Linked DNA regions of Mus musculus. The main gene of each other region encodes a partner of the protein of the gene in region 5 in a complex. Links are inferred from orthologs where the notes say so. Each region holds a gene or a part of one and is shown on either strand. Other genes may lie near its edges. The genes, in order: Ppp4r4, Ppp4r2, Ppp4c, Ppp4r1 and Ppp4r3b.

Evidence for each region.
Region 1: Ppp4r3b (region 5) and Ppp4r4 share a complex: the UniProt entries of both Homo sapiens proteins name them as parts of the PP4 complex. The link is inferred for Mus musculus from reciprocal best matches to the Homo sapiens genes PPP4R3B and PPP4R4.
Region 2: Ppp4r3b (region 5) and Ppp4r2 share a complex: the UniProt entries of both Homo sapiens proteins name them as parts of the PP4 complex. The link is inferred for Mus musculus from reciprocal best matches to the Homo sapiens genes PPP4R3B and PPP4R2.
Region 3: Ppp4r3b (region 5) and Ppp4c share a complex: the UniProt entries of both Homo sapiens proteins name them as parts of the PP4 complex. The link is inferred for Mus musculus from reciprocal best matches to the Homo sapiens genes PPP4R3B and PPP4C.
Region 4: Ppp4r3b (region 5) and Ppp4r1 share a complex: the UniProt entries of both Homo sapiens proteins name them as parts of the PP4 complex. The link is inferred for Mus musculus from reciprocal best matches to the Homo sapiens genes PPP4R3B and PPP4R1.

The regions. Positions count from the first base shown.
Region 1 is NC_000078.6:103,530,977-103,535,676, reverse strand, and holds the start of Ppp4r4 (serine/threonine-protein phosphatase 4 regulatory subunit 4), read right to left. Parts: upstream 3,113-4,700; 5' UTR 3,058-3,112; coding exon 2,935-3,057; intron 1,607-2,934; coding exon 1,533-1,606; intron 1-1,532. UniProt on the Homo sapiens protein: Putative regulatory subunit of serine/threonine-protein phosphatase 4.
Region 2 is NC_000072.6:100,832,472-100,836,437, reverse strand, and holds the start of Ppp4r2 (serine/threonine-protein phosphatase 4 regulatory subunit 2), read right to left. Parts: upstream 2,801-3,966; 5' UTR 2,555-2,800; coding exon 2,521-2,554; intron 1,722-2,520; coding exon 1,640-1,721; intron 1-1,639. UniProt on the Homo sapiens protein: Regulatory subunit of serine/threonine-protein phosphatase 4 (PP4). May regulate the activity of PPP4C at centrosomal microtubule organizing centers.
Region 3 is NC_000073.6:126,789,440-126,794,151, reverse strand, and holds the start of Ppp4c (serine/threonine-protein phosphatase 4 catalytic subunit), read left to right. Parts: upstream 1-1,604; 5' UTR 1,605-1,729; intron 1,730-1,787; exon of another isoform or gene 1,788-1,928; 5' UTR 1,929-1,993; coding exon 1,994-2,091; intron 2,092-4,712. UniProt on the Homo sapiens protein: Protein phosphatase that is involved in many processes such as microtubule organization at centrosomes, maturation of spliceosomal snRNPs, apoptosis, DNA repair, tumor necrosis factor (TNF)-alpha signaling, activation of c-Jun N-terminal kinase MAPK8, regulation of histone acetylation, DNA damage checkpoint signaling, NF-kappa-B activation and cell migration.
Region 4 is NC_000083.6:65,838,669-65,842,587, reverse strand, and holds the end of Ppp4r1 (serine/threonine-protein phosphatase 4 regulatory subunit 1), read right to left. Parts: intron 3,771-3,919; coding exon 3,629-3,770; intron 1,732-3,628; coding exon 1,568-1,731; 3' UTR 662-1,567; downstream 1-661. UniProt on the Homo sapiens protein: Regulatory subunit of serine/threonine-protein phosphatase 4. May play a role in regulation of cell division in renal glomeruli. The PPP4C-PPP4R1 PP4 complex may play a role in dephosphorylation and regulation of HDAC3.
Region 5 is NC_000077.6:29,210,808-29,214,726, forward strand, and holds part of Ppp4r3b (serine/threonine-protein phosphatase 4 regulatory subunit 3B), read left to right. Parts: intron 1-94; exon of another isoform or gene 95-197; intron 198-308; coding exon 309-448; intron 449-799; coding exon 800-984; intron 985-2,786; coding exon 2,787-2,989; intron 2,990-3,919. UniProt on the Homo sapiens protein: Regulatory subunit of serine/threonine-protein phosphatase 4 (PP4). May regulate the activity of PPP4C at centrosomal microtubule organizing centers.

The DNA.
Region 1 (4,700 bases), on a different chromosome or scaffold from region 5:
CAATATTCTTCAACTGTCTGTTCATTTGCACAAGAAGATTTACGGTGAAAGCCAATTGACAGGAAAGGACTCACTATGAAGCACCGGCTGCCCTGGGATTCCCTGCGGAGCCCAGGCTGTCTTTGAATGCACAGCAATTCTTCTGCATCAGCTTTGGGATTACAGGTGTACCCACCAAGCCCACCTTCACTTTGTTTTGTCTGCTTGCTTGCTTTTGTTCGTGTGTTTATCTGTTGGTTTATCCATTTGGTTTGGGTTTTGTTTGGTATAATTATCGAAGACCATGATCAGTAGGGTCCAAATGGAAAGTACACTGATACACAGTAAGAAGAGAAACTCATGGTGCCACCAGGAAGAATATTGAAGGAAAGTCCTGAAGAGAGGCTGAGGGTGCAGTTCTGTGGTAAACACTTTGTGTAACACAGACAAGGCCCTGAATCTGAGGAAGAGGGGGAAGAATCTTAAGGAATTCTTTATATAATCATTCAATGAATACCATGGGACTGGAAATATGATCTATAATCTATAATCAAGAACAGAATAAGAAGATAGACAGCAGCTGAAGCTAGTAAGGCAGACCTAAACAAAGGAGACGGACTTTATAGGAGGTAGCACCAGTCTTCAAACCCTGATTCTAAACAGCGATCACAAAGACTAATTTCCCAAAAGAAAAGAAAATTATATACATACACACACACACACAGGTGAAAATAATTCTTAAATATATACAAACGCCTAGAAGATTTTCTATTTCTGAAGACTTTTCATCAATATATTTACCCTTTAAAATTATTCAAATCATTTGTATTACTGTGTTTATACATATCTGCATAATATAAGTTGATTCTAGCAATGTACTGTAATCCCCACCCCACCCCCGCGCCCAGCACCCAAATGGAGACCTTTGTGACTGAAGTAATGTAGAATCATCAGAAGCATATATAGCGACAACATAACCACTTGTCTCAAGCTATTCTGTAGAGCCCACGAGATGGTCTGAAACTTAGAGAGTAGAGTCAACTTAATTTAAAAAAAAAAAGAAAAAAAGAAACTTGCAAGCAATATAAAGCTCACATTACAAAAGTAATAATAAACTATATTCTGAGCAAAAATTCATGTTTTTGAATTTTTCTATATAGTATTGCATACAATATCCATTCTCTACAATAAACTTAAAATTTTAATCACTGGGTACCTTTAAATCTTATCTATGCTTACTGACTCGTGCATGAGCATACTTGGAAAGTAATTTCAAAAGGATGTGATTCAATTCAAACCATTAGCTGCTCTGCAGTTCCTCCTCCAGGCAGTGTTCTTTAAATTAGATATGTTATTTGATTCCAGTTCTCAGATCCATAAGCCCAAACCTAACATAATTCATAACATAATTGTGATGCATGCAAAAAAGTACCCTGTTCAAGGGGAACAGTCCGTCTGAACACCCTCAGCAACTGAGACATGACATTTCAGAAACAGCTCATGTTTGCCCAACAGGCAAAGGGCAGCAATTTGCAAGAAAGAGTGAGACCTACCTGAGCAGATAAACAGCCCTGTCAATATCACTGAGATCTTCATCAACAGTCAGTCTTTCTATTTCTTCTGGTGTCTGTCAAGGATAAAATGCAAATTAGGCACACAAACATTTGGTCACTGTTGGCTCCCAAAGACCCTTGAAGACCCTATTGGTAAAAATTCACAATTATAGCAATGACAACTAATCTGGAATCTGAGGATTGTTCTACACCATATTAAACACAGATCTCCAGTTGAGTGCTGAGAGGGGGGACTATCTGTACTCTTCTGCCTTATAGACTGTAGGACCTCAATGGAATCAACTTCATTACACATACATACCACATGTGAACATATTTACCTATATATTCACATATTTTTTTGTCTTCAACGCAGTACCCCAAGCCGCTACAACATTTTCCACACTGGGAAATGCTTTAAAGGGGAGTTGAATAAAACAGAAAGGACAAGCTTTGTAGCTCCTGTTGGGAACCGAATGAACTCAGACGGAAAGAAAATCAAAGGCTCTAGAAAGGTAATGAAGAACTGGCAAGAAGGGTAGGGAAGGGGCCCATAAACTAGGTTTGTCATCTGTGAGGATGAGGGTTGAAACCCCACAAGGCTGGAAAGATGACTCTGCGGGGTTGGGGAGCGAGGTAGGGGGGGAAACAGAAGGTTGACTCCCCTCAAGGGGGCTGGGGAGCAGGGTCCCGCCTACAGTCCTGGAGGACCTGGGAGGAAAAGGATGCATGGTGACTCAGGATGGGAGGCAAGGGTTGAGGAGAAGCTTTCAAACCCTAAACTAGGGCGACTCTGGGAAGGGTGCCTCTCCTTGGAAGGTGAAGGAGGCCATGCTGCACGGGGAGACCCAAGCTTGATCTTATGCAGAGGTGGGGGTAGGACCGTGAAAGGATGGGACCTGAGACGTCCGGGCGAGAGATGGAACTAGGGCTGTGTGAAACCCAGGATGGGCCAGCGACCAGAACCTGGGACAGCACCACGGGCTGAGGAGCTGGCTGCGGAGGCTGGCCCCGAGAACAGCGGCTTGGCCGTTCCTGGGGGAGGCCGGAGCCGGGTGGGGCGCAGGGCTGGCCGCAGTCGGGGGACCAAGTCGGGGGGGCCCGGCTGATTCCAGTTAGTCAGGGGCAGGTTGATTTCAGTTCGGAGACTGGGCTGGCCGTAGTCAAGGGACCCAGCCGGCTCCAGTCAGAGGAAGGGACTAGCCTCAGTCAGGAGGCAGGGCTAGCTCTAGCCAGGGTAAGGGACTGGTTCCAGTCAGGGGTCAGGGACAGGCCGACCCTTGGCTGCGGCAGGGAATGAAGCTCTGAAGCGGCTGCGGTGACAGGGCGACTGGCGCTGGAGCGCCGAGGGGCAGTCGGACGGCGGGCAGCCCTGAGGGGAGCGTCTCTCGGTCCCGCGCACCTTGAGGCTCCGGCGGACCGGCCTCTCGATGATGGTGAGCTCCTGCAGGTCCTCCATGTAGCCAAACAGGCTGTTCTGCCCGAAATCCATCGCGACGCCGGCGTCGGGCGGCGGCGGATGCATGGACCGCCGAGGGGCTCCCTCGCCGGCCCGCCCGAGCGGCCCCGGGATGCCGGACGCGCGCAGCCCCGCGCCGCCCACCAGAAGGACTCTCTGGTCCCGCTCTCGGCCGCGGGGAAGCAGAGCAAGAGGCCGCAGGCGACGAGAACACGAGCGCGGCGGGAGCCGGAGAGCAGCGCACCGAGGGGGCGGGGCGGGTGGAGGGGGCGGGGCGGGTGGAGGGGGCGGGACCAGAACAGGGAGCCGCCTCAGCGGCCGCCTCGGCCCCGCCCCCGCCCGGGGTCTGCGCGCGAGGTAGGACGCAACTGCCGCGCAACGACGCTCCCTGGTCCGGCTCCCTGGGCCCCCGCCCCACCCTTATGGGGCGAGCCCCGCCCCTCGGCGCGTGCGCAGAGCTCTCCGCGTCCCCAGGCGGCCAGGAGGCGGGCCGGGGGCGGGAAATGGGCGCGGGCAGGCTGAGCCAATGAGAGTGAAGCGGGGGAAGTGTGCAGTGTGCTGGGCTCCTCTGCACCTGTGAGAGTGACTTTCTGGTTATTTGGTGGCTGCTCTGCTGGCCTGCTTCTGGTGTAGACAAGCCCCTGCTAACTCAACTCCCGGCCTAGGGACCCTCGAGTGGCCAAATCAAGCTGGTTTAGTGCCTAGTGTGTGCCTGAGGATAGGAGACAGGTATATGCGAATACAGTTCTGCAGTCCTGACGTTGGAAGAAGGAAAATGTCCCAAAATGCCTTCTTTAAAAAAAAAAAAAAAAAAAAAAAAGACCTATACTGAATCCTGAAAAATCAATAAGGATTTACTAAGAGAGGTTACAGCCAGCCCTTTCGGATAAAACTTGGGCCATGATGAGTGCAGCTCTTCTTAGAGAACTGGGAGGTAGTGCTTAGCACAGTGGGTAGAAAGAGATGTGTAAGACCTCGGTGGAGCACTACCTTGCTCTTGCTCTAGGGGAGCACATTGATTCAACTCGCTTACATTTGGTTCTAGTCAAAATAAGACAGGGAAGGGTTGGAGAGATGACCCAGTTGTTAAAAACACTGGCTCCTCTTCCAGAAGACACAGTTTCTATACCTAGCGCTACTGTAGGGACTAGTAAACCCCTGAAAGTCCAATTCCAGGGCCCTCTTTTGACCGCCTGACAATACGCAGACGTGCACAGCCATTTACATAGGTAAAAGTGCCACACCTGACACTCAGTTCCATCCATTGGACACAGTGAAAGAAGGGACTGAGTCTTACAAGTTGTCCAATGACCTCCACACTCACTCCATCTTACAGGCATGCACACACACACACCACACACATGATGTCTCAAAGAGTAAGAACACTTGCTGGGCAGTTCTAAAGAAATGAATTCAGATCCTAGCACCCACATTTAATAATAATAATTTTTAAAAAGCCAGCATGAGCCTGTAACCCCCACACGTGGGGGCTGAAGACAAAAGGACCCCAAGAGCTTGCAATCTGCCTTCCACTTCCATGAGAGACCCTACCATGACGGAGAAAAGCAGGGCAAGACACTGGATAGCTTCCTCTGGCTTCTTCATGAAACAAACCATTAGCTCTCAAAGCCAGGACAAAGGGCCAAGGTGCCTATTTGATACATCCAATCGGACCTGGTCTCCAGGTTCTCCTAGCATCCCTCATTCCC
Region 2 (3,966 bases), on a different chromosome or scaffold from region 5:
ACACCAGATATTTCTAAAATGCAGCTAGTTATTAGAAAGCTAAACTACAACCATAAATGAATCGTGTAAGAAATGAATACTTGTTAATAAAGACAGATCTGAGCATGTTGGGGCATGCATGTAGTTCCAGCACTACAGAGATGAAAAAGCAGGACCCTAAGTTCAAAGCCAGTGTGTGGGTAACTCTCAAAATATTTCTTTTTTCAAGACAGGGTTTTTCTGTGCAGCCCTGGCTGTCCCAGTACTCACTCTGTAAACCAAGCTGGCTTGAACTCACAAGAGATTTGCCTGCCTCGGCCTCGAGTGCTGGGATTAAAGGCTTAAAAGAAAATTTTTAAGGGGCTGAGAATGTAGTTCAGTGTTATGGCTCTTTCTTGTCTTGCACATGAGACACTAGGTCCCAGCTCCAGTGCCCTCCAGTAATCAATAATAATAACAAGATGTTGACAACAATGAGGGAAGCCGGGGTGGCAGTCACATCTGTAACCCCAGCACTTGGTGGCTGAGGCACGTCTGAGTATGAAGTCAGTCTGGGTTACCTACTGAGTTCCAAACCACCTGAGCTAGGTGAAGGTTACACCTAAAAGGATAAAAACAGCCTGGTTTGGCTACCTATTAAGAAGGCAGGGGCAATACAGATCAGAGTTCAAATCCAGCCTGGTCTAAAATAAATAGTTGTGGCTCCAGGCCCTGACTGAACAGTGCTAATGACAGAGAAGCTGTACAATCACTTGCTGAGTGATTATATTATTCAAACTAAGCAGGCAGTTCACCAACATGAACCCAAAATAACCTTTCCTCTTTCCTGCTCCTCACCCTACCCTACTCAGAGCAGTGTACAAAGATGGGTTATCTTCCAGAGTAACTGAGCCAAACTGTGAGAGCAACTTTTTCCACACAAGCTATAGAATAATAAAACTAGATTCTTCCTTTGGATAAAAAATACAGTATAAGTTGAGAGCAACTTTTGGAAAAGAGCCTAGTAAGATGTTGGGCATATGTAAGTTAGCTAGCCTAGGTCAGGACAGTGACAACCTCACCATCTGGAACGTGTCAGATAATCACCTTAAGTCCTCAAGGCAAGAAATACAAGTTAGACTTCAAACAACTACAAGAATTAGTAAGAAAACAAAAGGCTGGGTAAGCAACAGCACAAAAAAAAAAAAAAAAAAAAATCCTCAACAAATCCCTGAAACAGTATCAAAGCCACACAATGGAACATTCTTTCCTAAGTTCTTTCCAACTAAAACTAGTAGGTTCTTTGTGCCAAAGTATAGAAATCTAAAAAACTCTGATAAATTCTTAACAACTGTTATGCAACATGCAGAAAGATTCTCACCTCTACTGTGATCTTTAAGGCATCTCAATTTTTTAACTTACATTCACTTATTGATTTGTGTTTGAGTCCGAGGACAACTTTTGGGAATCAGCTCTATTATGTGGCACTCCCAGATCAAACGCAAGCCCTCAGGCCTGCTAGTCAACACCTTAACCTGTTGGGCTATCTCACCCATCCCCAGGGGTCTCGAATTTGGACAGATCTATTCCGTGAGTGTTTTGAAATCCTCTCTCCCCCACATTCCTGAGCAACTCTGAATGACAGGTAGGCCTGTGACCACGAACCCATGTTTCTACTTACATTGTTTCTCCAGTTTTAGCTACATGACAGAGAAACTGATCCAGTACAGGACAAACTTCCTTTTTCCCTCTCTTCTCAAAATCTAGATAAGAAAAAGAAAAAAAAAAGGGTTATCACTACGTCCTTGCCAAGAACATTCAAACTTTCTCTACATTTGGAAACAATTAAGAAAATCAGACTCAGCTGGGCGCCTGTGGGACAAGCCTTTAATCTCTGCACTTGGGAGGCAGAAGCAGGCGGATTTCTTTGAGTTTCAGACCAGCCAAGGCAACACAGAAAAACTGTGTCAAAACGAAATTTTTTTTTTTAATTTAAGAAAGAAAATCAGCCTCTCACTCAAATACCCACATACGTGCACCCTGAATTCCTACCTCCTCGTTACCCTTTTTCACCGGCAGTGCAAATTCTCCTAAAGGGGGCACTCCACCTCACAGACTATCCTTCAGTGTTCCCCAAGTGTGGCGCAGGGAGCCCCGGCATCCGACCCGAACCCCGACCGCCGCAGCGTGCACCTGAATGAATCCAGCCCCAAGCCACTAAAGCCACCCAACCGAGCCGCCATCCTCCAAATGCTCCCGCATGTCCTAGGGGGTGGGGGTGTTTTCAGAACGCCGGGACCCCGCGGTTCCAAGTTTGGGAAGCAGTGTTCTCGAGCCTGTTGCTTGCCAAGCCGCGGCCCCAGCGTCTGATGAGTGCGAACCTCCCCAGGCCCGGAGGCCGCCGCCGCCGCCGCACGACGAGGCCGCGCCGGTGCTAGGCGCTCCCCTCCCCCCCACCCCACGCCCGCAACCCACACAAAGCCCCGCGCCGGCGACAGCTACAGCAGGGAGGCGCGGGCGGCCTCCGCCCGAGCGCGCGGCCGGCAGCGCGGCGACCCCCACCTTTCAGCGCCTCCTGCAGCCTCTCGACGTCCATGGCGCCGCGCAGTCCCTCGCCGCCGGCGCCTCCCTCGGCCGCCGTCCCGGGGGCCGCGGCGCCCGCCCCCGCCCCCCCGGACGCCCGCCCCCGCCCTCGCACACACTCCGCCACACGCCGGCGACCGGGGAGGGGGGTCCCGAAGGGAGCCGGGGCGGGGGGAAGCGAGAGACGGAGCGAGACGGACAGAGCGAGAACCTCCCCGAGCCGCTACCACCAGCCCTCCAACATGGCGCCCGGCACGTCAGCGCGCGCACGCTCCCCACAGCTGTCGTCCTCGCGCCCGCTGCGCGCGCGCACACACCCACACACGCCCAGGAGCGCTCCCGGCCCGCCCAGTGCGCGTGCGCGGCGGAGGCGCACGGGATCGAGGCGCGAGTTCGGAGCCCGCGGCTGGAGCTGCGCGCTGCGGACGCCGCTGAACAGAGGAAGAGTGTAGCTGATGTGTCCACATTGCTTCTCTGAGCCTCCGTTTCCCCATCAGTACACTGAAGGCGCTGGTGCCGACCACTCTTGTGGTCCCTGTGTACTGTTGCTGTCATCACTAGGGCTCAGAGAACACATTTTCAATGTTTGTTTGTTTGTTTGTTTAATTTTCGAGGATCTTATGTTTCCCAAGCTGGAAGATGACCTTATGCTACTCATTCTTTTGATTTCACCTCCCAAGCGCTGGGATAATAGAGGCTTACCACGACTCCTGTTTTTATGGGTTCTGAGATACAAACCAAGCACTTGGCAAGCATTTTACCAGCTGAGACACATTCAAGCCCAGTATGCCTTTACACACACACACACACACACACATACATTATATAATATGGATGCGAAGTATGTCAAGACAATTCTAGAACTCTATGACAAATGGAGACAAAGTATGTCAAGATAGTTCTAGAACTCAAAACATCTAGCTCTAAACCAGCACGGAACATTTTATACTTTTGCAGTGGGCCAGCAAGATGGCTCATCTGGTGAAGGTGCTTAGAGCCAGAGTTCTATCCATTGTATGCATGTGGTTGTCATCTGACTTCCATTTTAACACGCATACTCGGGCACACACAAAATAATTTTTTAAAAAAAGAAGAAAAGAAAAGAAAAGAAAAGAAAGAAAAAAGAAAAGCTCTTGCTTGTTCCACCTTCTCTTCCTGAGGCCCACATACCATGTCAGCAAAGAAAGGATGAAGCCTGTTACCAAACGTTAACTGAGACGCTGAGAATCTGGACATAGCCATTACAAAGTTGACTTTAAAAAGATGTTTCTGGCTGGGCAGTGGTGGTGCACGCCTTTAATCCCAGCACTCGGGAGGCAGAGGCAGGTGGATTTCTGAGTTCGAGGCCAGCCTGGTCTACAAAGTGAGTTGCCAGCCTGGTCTACAAAGTGAGTTCCAGGACAGCCAGAGAAACCCTGTCTCGAA
Region 3 (4,712 bases), on a different chromosome or scaffold from region 5:
CCCAGTGCTGCAAGGGAAAACTCAAATCCCTATGCTTCCCCAAACTTCAGCCTCCCATTTTACTGCTCATCACGTACTTGTAGCCTTGCTCTCTAGAATTCTGTAGCCCACACTGGCCTTGAACTCTCAAGATCTGCTTTCCAAGTACTGGGATGAAAGGCATGTGCTATTCTCCTAGCTTCTATGAGGCGATCCTTTTTATTTTATATACATTGGTATTTTAACTGAAATGTGTGTATGTGTGAGTGTTGGATCCTCTGGAACAGTTGTGAGCAGCCATGTGGGTGCTGGGAATTGAACCCAGGTGGTTGGCAGGCTGGAAGAGCAGTCAGTGTTAACCACTGAGCCATCTCCCCACCCTCTATAAGAAAATCTTAAGGCACATAAAAATTGTTCAAAATTGAGAGGGACAATAGAATACTGAAAAAGAGGGAGTATGGTGTGCAGAAGATCAATAACCTGCTCTGCCTACAGCAAAAGGCAAAGAGAAAGGAGGCAGACTGCATGCACTGCGAATTTGGGGAGCTCCAGGGGCTGGCTTAGTGTTTGTGTTGCTTTGAGTTTCAGCAAATGAAAGGTGAAAGCCAGACCTGAAAACCACTTTTTTCTGGATTAATTTTTGTTTTTTGCTTTTTGAGGCAGGGTTTCTCTGTATAGCCCTGGCTGTCCTGGAACTCACTTTGTAGACCAGGCTGGCCTCGAACTCCCAAATCTGCCTGCCTCTGCCTCCTGAGTGCTGGGATTAAAGGCGTGCACCACCAAGTACAGCTATGGATTCATATTTGAGCTTTGATTGAAACTCCAGACTTTCAGCATTCAACTGTGATCAAGCTAGCCTCCAAACCCATTGCCACCTTCAAGGAATATGTTCAGGCAATAAGAAGCATTGTTGGGTGTGGTTGATTAATATCTGGGCTGAGATTCGCTGTGAAATCTGGGCTATTCTAAGCTACAGTGCAACCCTGTCAAGAAAAAAAGTGAACTATTTTGGAAAAGCTTGGTGTCCAGAGAGTGGACACTTAAAAAATTTTTTTTCAATTAGATTTAAGCCTCCGTGTTTTCTCTCATCACCATATGGGTTCTGGGGATCCAAATCAGGTCAGTAGGTTTGGTGACAAGTTCTTTTATCAGATATGCTATCTTCGTGAGGTGACCGCCCCCCGCCAAGTGTTTGCTCTGTAGCTTTGACAGCCTAGTATCCACGATCAGCCTTAGCCTCCTGAGTTCTGGGATTACAAATAGGCCACTATGTCTGGCCCAGGTTCGGAGCTCCTCCATGGGACCGTGGCAAGAAATGTGGACCAGGATAGGCTCTTTCATTGAACAATTATTTATGCATATCTGCAATACTTGGCCTTATTCTAAACACCGGAGAGGCAATGATGAACAAGGCAGTTTTATCCGTGAGATCTGTAATAGAAGCAGCCCAGGGAATAATGTAATGTGAGATGAGAAGCCTACCGCGGCTCGCCTCACCAGGCATACACAAGTACACCAGGCGCACTGCTGTATTTGCCTCCAACCAACTTCGCCCGCCCACTTCCGGCTACTTCTCTTCTCCTTCCCGGTGCCTCAGCGAGGCGTGGCTCGTGTGCGTCACTTCCGGCGCGCGAGAGCACTGGTTTCCCTTTGCTTCCGCGGCGAGGCCGGAAGTAGAAGCGGCGGTGGCGGAGGCCCAAAGCGGAGGGAAGTGGGGAGTCGAAGAGACTCAGCCGGAGTCTCCGCGGCGGTAATTGTCCGAGGCCCCTCTAGGCCACCGTCCTTAGCGCGGGCCCGCGGGGTTCGACGGGAGTTGGCGGGGTGCGGCCAGGGCAGCGGGACGCGGAGGGTCCTGGGCCGCCGTGAGGGGAGGGGGGGGCGGTCCCAGAATCGAGTCCCCCCTCCCGCACGGACCCTCTGATTGGCGGGCTCGCCTTCCCTTTTCCCAGGAGACCCCTGTGCGGTCCGGAGGGGGCGGCGGCCCCGACTCTGACCCGCGCCGGGGGGGTGGGCCATGGCGGAGATCAGCGACCTGGACCGGCAGATCGAGCAGCTACGGCGCTGCGAGCTGATCAAAGAGAGCGAAGTCAAGGCCCTGTGCGCCAAGGCCAGGTGAGCCCGCGGAAGGGACTCCAGCCGGTCGCCCCGGGGGTCTCGGCCGGGCAAACTCCGCCGAGAACTTAGGGCTTGCCCAAGCCCGGAAACGTCGCCAGAGAGAGGTCCGGAGAGCCACTTCTCCCCAGGAACCACGGGGCGGCTGTGTATGGGTTTCTAGTGGAGTAAGAGCGAGTGGCAGGAAGTTCTAGGGAACTCAGGGAAAATGGCTTGCCCTGCTGGGGTGAAAGTTTCTTGGAGGGGCTGAGTTCTCGGACAGATTCTTAAAGAGTGAGGAGATGGTTCAAGGCAAGAAAACAAAACGTGATTTGCGAAAGCCTCTCAATCCCGTCAGTCCTTAAAAGAGAAAATGACTTTGTGTCTAGTTTAACAAACAAGGACTCCAATTGTTCAAAATTACCAGCAAGGAAGGAATGGAATCTGAAGCCAGATCTTGTGAATACGGATCCTTTTAGTTATGATTCTGGAAGACGGAGTTGAGCCACCTTCGTGTTCCATTACGATCCTAAGAAAAACAATAAATAGGTCACACTAGAAGAGTTTCAGACTAGCTCATTTTACTGAGTTGAGGTCTTTTCAAAAAAGGAAGAGTTTTTGAAAAAACTCACAGCTTCAACACAATTTTTTTTAAAGATTTATTTATTATTTTTATGTAAGTAAACTGTAGCTGTCCTCAGACACACCAGAAGAGGGCATCAGATATCATTACAGATGGTTGTGAGCCACCATGTGGTTGCTGGGATTTGAACTCAGAACCTTCAGAAGAGCAGTCGGTGCTGTTAACCATTGAGCTATCTCCAGCCCCTCTCAACAGCCCCTCCCAAGCCCTTGGGATGCCAAGAAAGGAGAATGAGGGGTTTAGGGTCATCCTAAGCTAGGTCAAGGCCACAACATGAGAGCTAAGCATGATATGGATATGGAGAGAGGCAGAGTTCTCTGGGAAGTAGAAGGAAATTGTAAGTCAGGATCCCAGTTTGGGGTGCAGTGACTGTGGATTTGAGTCTGAGCTCTGCCACTTTGTGTGGTGTTGATTTTGAAGTGTCTTAGGAGTCAGTAAAATGGAACAAGTTGTGTTGAGTAAAACAGTTGTGACCATTCTGCGCAGGAAGTGAGTTTAGCATGATGTTGAAAGTTATGAGATGGTATTCAAAGATTGAAGCTAGCTGAAACTTTGTGGGGGGGGGTGTTTGGTTTTGTTTTGTTTCAGAGACAGGGTTTCTCTGTGTAGCCCTCCTGCCTTATCTTTTAACTCACTGTAGACCAGGCTGACCTTAAACTCAGAGATCCCTGCGCCGCCCCCGCCCCCCCCCCCTTTCCAGTGCAGGGATTAAAGGCGTGTGATACCACCCTCTGGTAACCAAGGTGCTTCTAAGAAAAGGTAGACCAGCCGGGTGTGGTGGCACACGGCTTTAATCCCAGCACTTGGGAGGCAGAGGCAGGTGGATTTCTGAGTTCCAGGCCAACCTGGTTTACAAAGTGAGTTCCAGGACAGCCAGGGCTACATAGAGAAACCCTATCTTGAAAAAACAAAAAAGAAAAAGAAAAGAAAAAGAAAAGGTAGACCTTGAAAGATACATTGACCAGCCAACAGCACAGTGAGAAGGAATATTCAGATAGGGTGGGAGTAGGTAGGTAACAGTTGAGGCCGGAAACTTGCAGTGTGACTTCCACCCTGTTTAATGGATAGTAACCTGCTCCTTCCCCTTCCCCACGAGTTCTGTGAGGCCGGGAGAATATGTGTGTGTGCCTGTCTGTCCTCTCATGTAGCCCTAGCTGGCCTTGAACCCAAAGAGATCCATCCATCTCTCTCTCTCAAGTGATGGCTTCTTTTTACAGAGTAGGAAGCCATGACTTGTAGGTACTAGTGACTTGATGCAGGTTACCCACTGAGGACGTGGCAGCTGGTGTCCTGGTTTGCTTTCTCTTGCTGAGCTACATCTCTAGCCCTGTTTGGTTTGAAGTCTTTGTTTTGGAGACAGGATCTCACTGTCTCTTAGGCTGGTTTGGAGCCTGGAATCCTCTGCTTCTACCACCATGCCATCATGCCTGACTGTAAAAGGTACTCCCACATCTTAGGCTAGCCTTGAACTTGCTATAGAGCCAAGTATAACCTGGATCTTTCTGCCTTACCTACCAAGTGCTGACATTCCACGTGTGTGTTCCTGGTATTGATTTGAGGCCTGTGGAAGAGTCTGGTGTTGCTCCTCTGGAAATTGGATTCCCGGGCTCAGCAAGTTTCCAGCTTGATCTGCCACTATTCTAGGAGGTCTTTGTGGAAATCATCACAGGAGTAGGGTAGAAAAGACAATGCTGAGCTGAGCCAGGGAAGATATTGTTAGAAGAACCCACAAAGTAGCAAAAAGAAAAAAACTACACCACAGCCCATTTCTTAAATGTAAATTCCTGTTACAGTGCCACAATCCTTTAATCCCAGCACACATGAGGCAGACACAGACAGGCAGATTTCTTGAGACTAGCCTGGTTTACACATCAAGTTACATATCCAGGCAAGCCAAGGATACATAATGAGGCTCCGTCTCCAGAACAAATGAATACAATGCTGACAGGGAAGGAACACCTTTGAAGGTCATCTGGGATCCTTGTGCCGGAGGTCTCAC
Region 4 (3,919 bases), on a different chromosome or scaffold from region 5:
CATGGCTCAGTGAGCAATTGTGTGGAAAGGTGGGAAATACTGAGAGAAATACCAGCAGTGGGGGCCTACTGTTGTTTGTGTGACATGTTGAATAAAGAATCTTGTTTTGTTCCGCTAGGGCTGAAAAGTGAGCTGTGAGTAACAAGAATGAGTGAAACCTTGGCTTTACTGGGACAATTGATGCTAGTCACTGGGTAGTGAGACCAACACACTGAGTCAAGCTCTGGGAAGGATGTTTACTCAGGGTCAGCACATACAAGGTGTGGTCCAGGGTGGGCAAATCTGCATCTCAGGTTTGGTAGCTGTTTCATGTGGTCCTGGTTTTGAGAGGTGAGAGAGGGTGAGTCAGTTCCAGGGAGCAGCAGGGCCTGGAACCACCTACCTGGATTGCACTCCTGCAGAGGTCAGGGGCCACCCGTGAAGGTGCGCGCTCTCCCACCATGGAAGCTGCAAGGCCGAAGGGGTCGTGGATGGAAGCTAAGGCTTAGCATCCTAAGGCTGGGTCAGTCCTCAAGTGAAGCCAACACCCGCCCTGGCTGCCCTTCCATGGCGCACTGAGTAGGTGGTGTTCATAGCAGCCTGGACTTCAGGCTGCTGCCGCCTGCCAAGAGGAGGGCTGACAGGTGAACACTGAGCTAAAGACAAACGCCTTTCTCCCATCTTATGCTAAGTAATACAGGCCACATACTGCATTTATTTGTAGACATTTAGGAAACAAAGTGGGTGGTGTCTCTCTTTATAGATCCTATTAATAAATTTTATTTGGAGCTTGTACCACAACAGTTCTAACAGCATGATTCAGGCTGCACACCCCAGAGTGGTCACAGGGGTGCAGCACGGGAAGACACAGTTGCACCTCAGAGCTGACCATGATCAAGTTAAAAATACCTGACACAATATTCGTGCTAAGAAATTTCCTTCAGGTCATGACCAGCATGAAAAATATCAGGAGAGATTCTGCAAACATTCTGTAAATGTGTACAGCAATGTGCTGCATTAGGAGTCAAAATCAGATTCTATTTAGTGTTAACATCAAGCCCTTAGGAGAGGAAAAACTCCTTTGTCATTTATACACGCCAAGAACTATTCACACTTAGGGCTGGGCTGGGCAGGGCAGCCAAGGAGCTGAACAGGCTCAGCACCTAGAAGAAATGCTTAGGCTAATACTGAAGGCCTTTCCTGTCCGGTGCACATCCACCTTCTGGCCGTAAGAATGTCATTTATCAGCCGTTAAATAAAACCAGAAGAAAGCAACGCAGGTCTCTGGGAACCTCATCCTTCCCGAAGGGAAAATGCTCTGCCAATTCAAGCCATCAGTCAGGAAGATGAAGGAACGAGTTAAGGCTTTGGTGACAATTATAATCCTCTGAGATTTACTTTCCCTTAAGTCAAGATAAGATAATAGTGTTTACTGTACTTTCTCTTGACTCTTAAAACCACTGGTATTGGGAGTAGGCAACCTGCACCTGCGAATGAGTTGGCAGGAGGAAGGCCCCCACCACAGCTGTCCCGAGTGGTGCAGGCAGTCGAGGCCAGGCTCTTGCGGATGCAGGATGGACACCGTGGGTCAGTAGGTGGAGGAAGCTGTGCTCATTGCATCTTCAGAGAGTTTGGTACTGGAGGGGTGAATGCTTGCAAAGTACTTGACATCACTGTCTCGGTCCATCTGCAGGGCCATGATTGTCTGCTCCACGGCCTCCTGGTGACAGCTGGCAGAGGCTAAGAAGTACTCTGGAAACGATGTGCAGGACACAACATTAGTCTTGGTGTTTGGGAGTTTAGTCAAGTACAGTCAGGTGCAGAAGGCTCGCTGCCTGCACAATAGTTCCCTGAGTAAGCACTGTGCGCGGACTCAGCCATCTGTAAGCTCACCGGTGCAGGGAAAGCAGCACTAACTTAAGAGGGACTGTGAGATTGTTTTGGTGATAGGCAAATCTCTTGACGGTGAATAAGCTCATGCTTATTAAAACAGTTCCAGCTATTTTCAGCTCAGAAAAAGGAAAAGAGCAGATAAACACCAATCACACCCAGACCCCTTTTCTAAGGGGGAAAGCCATTTTACTGTTCTTTTGAAAATGTATATGGGATTGGGGGAAGATCGAGCCAGGCAGTGGTAATGAACACCTTTAATCCCAGCACTCGGGAGGTGAGGCTGGTGGATCTCTGGGTTCTAGGTTAGGGGCCAGCCTTGCCTACAGAGTTAAGGCTACACAGAGAAACCCGGTCTCAAAAAACAAGACAAAACAAGACAAGACAAAAAAGTAAAAATATACAAAAAGCAAGGAAAAAAGCAGTATTGGCTTATTCCTGTACTATGACTTACTCTACATTTCTTCCATATCTTGTCCATGAGCTCACACACTCAACTTCATGTGGCATTTGGAGAAGGCAGTCACAGTACTAAAACCAACAAAACACATACTGCCAGGTGCCTGGCTCCTACTTAGAGAACGAAGGGAAAGACGAGCCTCCTACCTCAGCCACAATGCCCACAGTCAAGTGCAAGCTGCAGGGAGTGTCTTCACGACGGGCACGCCAGCCCTGTGTACATGGAGCCAGAGGCTACCTTGTGTACTTGGCACCCTCGTTTGACCCTGCTGAGGAGCTTGGCTGCTTCCCATTATTTACGTTCTGAAATGTTGTATATGTATGAATGTACTGTGTGTGTATGGAGGCCAGAACTGGCACTCAGTATTTTCCCTTGACTACTTTCCACATTGTACTGGCTGGCTCTGTGTGTCAACTTGACACAAGTTGGAGTCATCAGAGAGGAAGGAGCCTCAGTTGAGGAAGTGCCTCCATAAGATCCAGCTGGAGGTATTTTTTCAATTAGTGGTCAATGGGGGAGGGCCCAGCCCATGGTGGGTGGTGCCATCCCTGGGTAGGTGGTCCTTGGTTCTGTAACAAAGGCTAAGTAAGCCATGGGAAGCAAGCCAGTAAGCAGCACCCTCCATGGCCTCTGCATCAGCTCCTACCTTCAGGTTCCTGCCCTGCTTGAGCTCCTGTCCTGACTTCCTCCAATGGTGGTCTATGATCTGGAAGTGTAAGCTGAATAAATTCTTTCCTCTCTAACTTGCTTTTTGGTCAAGCAATAGAAAACCTAAGACTGTGAAACCATCCCCCCCCTTTTTTTTGAGACAGGCTTTCTAACTGAACTTTAAGCTTGTCAGTGCCTAGATGGCCACTCAGTTCCAGAGATCTACCCAACTCTGCCTTCCAACACATGCACACTATCACAACCCACACGTTTATACAGGTTCTTGGGAGCAAATGCAGATCCTCTTGCCTGCAGAGCAAACACTTTACAGAATGAACCATCCCCCCAAACACCGTATCACCAAAATTACAAGATTTAAGTTAGAAAAATGCCCTATGTCCAGAATAAAAGACTTTCACCCAAACACCAGTGTCTTCATTAAAATACCCTCCCAACTCCCACTTTTGTTTTTCAAGACAGAGTTTCTTTGTGTAGCCTTGGCTATACTGGATCAGGTTAGCCTCCAACTCACAAAAACCCATGTGCCTCTCTGTGTCTGCCTTCCAAGTGCTGGGATTGAAGGTGTGTGTCATGCTTGCCTGGCCTCTGTGACCCTCTTTACTGCTCATACATCCTACCAGCACCACCCACCTTTCTCCAGCAGAGTCTGTCGCAGGGTTTTCGCAAGCAGCACTCTAACATTGGGAACCCTGTCATTTGCCAAGGTCAGCAAATGTGGCATCAAGTGCACAGCAAACTGGTCCATGGGGAGGCAGTCGTCTTCAATGACAGTCTGGCGGGAGAGACAAGTGTGACTGTCAGCCCAGCCATCACCAAGCACAAGATGGGAACCCAGACAATACCATACGATGCTTCAGGACATTTTATGATGTTCCATCAGAGTAAATCCATTTTATTTCTACTAGAAATGGTACCCCTGCC
Region 5 (3,919 bases):
AAATTATAAAAGTTTTCTTTAAATTATGAAGTACTTACTGTATAAAGCACTAAGACATAAACTAAATCCATTGCTTTTCAAATGTTCCTTATAGCCCCCTAAAGGGCTCCAGTGAATTGCCTCTCCTTGTTCCAAGTTTTCTGTGGAGTCCTGTCCTGGCTCATGTATAAGGAATCTAGGACATTTATTTTTAGAAGGTGATTTTGAAAAACCTTTTTTGATCAATTTTGGAACTATACAAGTTTTTATTTTTGTTTTTCTCAACAAGTATTATATTGTTTTATAATGTGAATTTTGTGCCTATACAGGAAGATATCAAGTCTCTTACTGCACATATAGTTGAAAACTTTTATAAAGCACTTGAATCGATTGAATATGTTCAGACATTCAAAGGATTGAAGACTAAATATGAACAAGAAAAAGACAGACAAAATCAGAAACTGAACAGGTATTATTTAAGTGTATTATTACATTTATAGCAAGCAAAATTAAGTACAAAATTGTACACAGTTTAGATCTTATCCAGTGAAATTTTCTCTATTAGCAGAGCATAAGGTAAACTGTCTTTCTGCCACATCAGTTAATTATATGACAACTTGATACTGCATATAGTAATTTTGATAGAGTCTTAATTTGCAACATACAAAAACATTTGAAGATTTCTCTAGCTACATCTTATTTGATATGCTGTACATGCTAAGTTAAACTACATTAGTTCATCTTGGTTAGTCATTCTTCCCAAAGTTTATCTAGTTATGACCTTGTAGTCATTACTCAGCATCTGACATATTTCTTACAGTGTACCATCTATATTGCGTAGTAACCGATTTCGCAGAGATGCAAAAGCCTTAGAAGAGGATGAAGAAATGTGGTTTAATGAAGATGATGATGAAGAAGGAAAGGCAGTCATAACACCAGTTGAAAAATCTAAGACTGAAGATGATTTTCCAGATAGTTATGAAAAATTTATGGAAACTAAAAAAGGTACTAATGTTTGTAATTTTCATATATCACCACTTAGTAAAACAATTATACAGCCTGAGTTTGATCCTTAACACAGTACACACACATACAAACACACATAGAATAATAATATTTTACTTATTTGAAAAAAAATCTGGCCAAGGTTTGTAAAACAAGAAGCACAAGAATTTTATACTGAATCATACCCTTTTAAAGTTATCTTGGATATTCATATTTAAAATGCTTTCCTTGAAACTTAATGTTTTTAATGCTGTTCATTTTGAGTTTAGAAATGTTCAGTTTATAATATTTAAAACAGGGTCACAGTACATAGCCTCGTTGTCGCCTAGAACTCACAGTCACGTCACCCAACCCCAGCTTCTCAAATGCTGTGGTTACAGTGTGTGCCACCACACCTGACAACTGTTTAGAAATTTATTGTATACTATACTTCTGAACAGATCCGGCCTGACTTTGTTTCTTTGCTAAAATTTCATTGAAGACTTGTATTATAACTAAATTTTTTCTAAGTTTTTATTATTGAGTAACTATAACTATAGAAGCTTAGAACACTCTACCTCTGATATTTACAGCCTGAGCAATGTGAACTCAAAGACATGACTTTCCTCTTTGAAATTTCAACTATTACTTAAGGGGGTGCAGTTAGGCATGGTGGCAGCACCTTTAGTCCCACCATTCTTGGGCTGAGGTGGTAGAAGCACGACGAGCTTGAGGCCAGGCCATGCTACATGCTACTCTGTCTTCAGAAAAGGCAAAACAAACCCAGGCATGGTGACACCTTCTCATGACCCAGCACTAAAAGAGTTGGAGGGAGGAAGACTAGAAACTGAAAGTGATCCTCAGCTACAAACCAAGTTTGGGACCAGTCTGAGATCCATTAGACACTGCCTCAACGAGGGAAGGGATAAGTGTTCCTACTTATGTAGAACTAAGATATAGCTAATATCTTTAAAGAAATATAATCACTGTAATGGCCTGCAAATACTATTTGTCTATTTAATAGAAATTTATTTGTTGGAAGGCAAGATTATGTCTTGCATGACTTATTCTTCAGGCATTTCTTCTTAGAATCTCATTCAGGTGACTGAGTATCTTTTCTTTCAGCTATTCCCTCACTAACTCATTTCCTACTTATTAGTGCCATGAGGACCACTTACAGCTAACAAAAAGCCTACTGGTGTTCTAAGGAACATTATTTACTTTTCATTTGTATACTTGCTAGCTCTTGAACCCAGGGCCTGGCTAGCACTCTACCACTGAGCTTTCTATCTCCAGTCCAGAACAGGTGCTGTTTAGCAGACAAGTTCATTTCTTTCAGTCAGTAGAGATGTCGCCCTCAATATCACGATAAAAAAGAAACAAAGGCCATGCATGCTGTTAGGAAATGTTTCAAAATAAAATTACCAGACTTTAAAGGAGTTTGGGCACCTATGCTATAAAGAAATCAAGTAAAGAAACTTGGAGTTTTTAGGGAGTAAATGACTAGGATACTTAAGAGTTATCCTTAGGAATTTTCAGTGGTGACTTGTGAAAGAAGATTTGTAGAGGGGAGTTGGTGAATGGAAGACAGTAACAGAAATCAGACTGCTAAGAGCTTCTTTACAAGCAAACACTGAGAACAATCTACTGTAAGATGGTTGGTTCTGTTCATTGACGTTCCTAAGAGTCTGACCAAATAGAACATGTACTTATCTTAACATGTGCTGTTAGAAAGCATACATAGGCAAAGTTGTATGTTGTCACTTCAACGAATGCTTTGACTTAGCAGTATTTAATGCAGGCTCATTTTACTTTTGCTTTAGCAAAAGAAAGTGAAGACAAAGAAAACCTTCCCAAAAGGGCATCATCTGGTGGCTTCAAATTTACTTTCTCCCATTCCCCCAGTGCTACTAATGGAACAAACAGTACAAACAGTAAGTCTGTAGTGAGTCAGACAACACCAGCAAGTTCTAATGTGGCCTCTTCCAAAACTACAAGCCTGGCTACATCAGTGACAGCCACAAAGGTATGTAAAATAAAAATTCCATACAAACTCTGCCTTTTCCATCTGTAAAACTACTTTGTGTGTGCTGATGATTTAGATAAAAGTTTCAAAGAATGAAAAGGTTTTATTATCATCAGAACCTGACTCCCAACATTGAATGCAAACACATGAGGGTTATCTTGCATATTATGTAAATTTTAGGTTAAACATTTTTTTCTTTTAGGACTTTTATAAAGAACTGTTGACCATTTTATTTAGCTATATATGAGCCTATTGAAAATTCCCAGTTTGTTGCCGTTTTAAACATAATAGCAATGTGAACTTTACATACATCATTTCAGATCTATGTGTAAGTCTGTATAGAATGTGCATTGTACCCTATTTCCAAATGCAAATGCTCAATAAAATTGGAACAAATGGATAATTTCTTAACATACTACTTGTATAACACCAAAAGTTAGTTTTGTATTTAAGAAATATTAGGGATATTCCCACTTAATCATGAACAAGACAGCATGTTGTTATTATTGCTGTTATTTAACCATGACTGTAAAATATTGGTTAGCACATTTAGTGAAACAACCAAAATTACTATTGTATAATCTCCTATTAGAGAGTAAAAAGTCCTTGTGTGCTTGAAACTACACTTGGTTATAATTTACTCTGTTGCAGAGAGGAAAAAAAATCCTCTTCTACAGTTAATTTAGTCATTGGCTTTGATCCTTATGATCATTGAATTTTCATATATTAGAAAAAAGGAAGTTTGCCAGGCATAAATTGCTTATGCCTGTAATTCCAGCAGTTAGTTATCATCTACAAGCTCTTTTCTCAAAACAAGGAAATACACCACAAAAGCTGGATACGATTACCTGCTTTCTGCCGTTCATGCTTTTCAGGAGGCTGCAAGGCAGAGGTATCACGAGTCCTGAAGTTCTTAGGAATTTGCAGTGA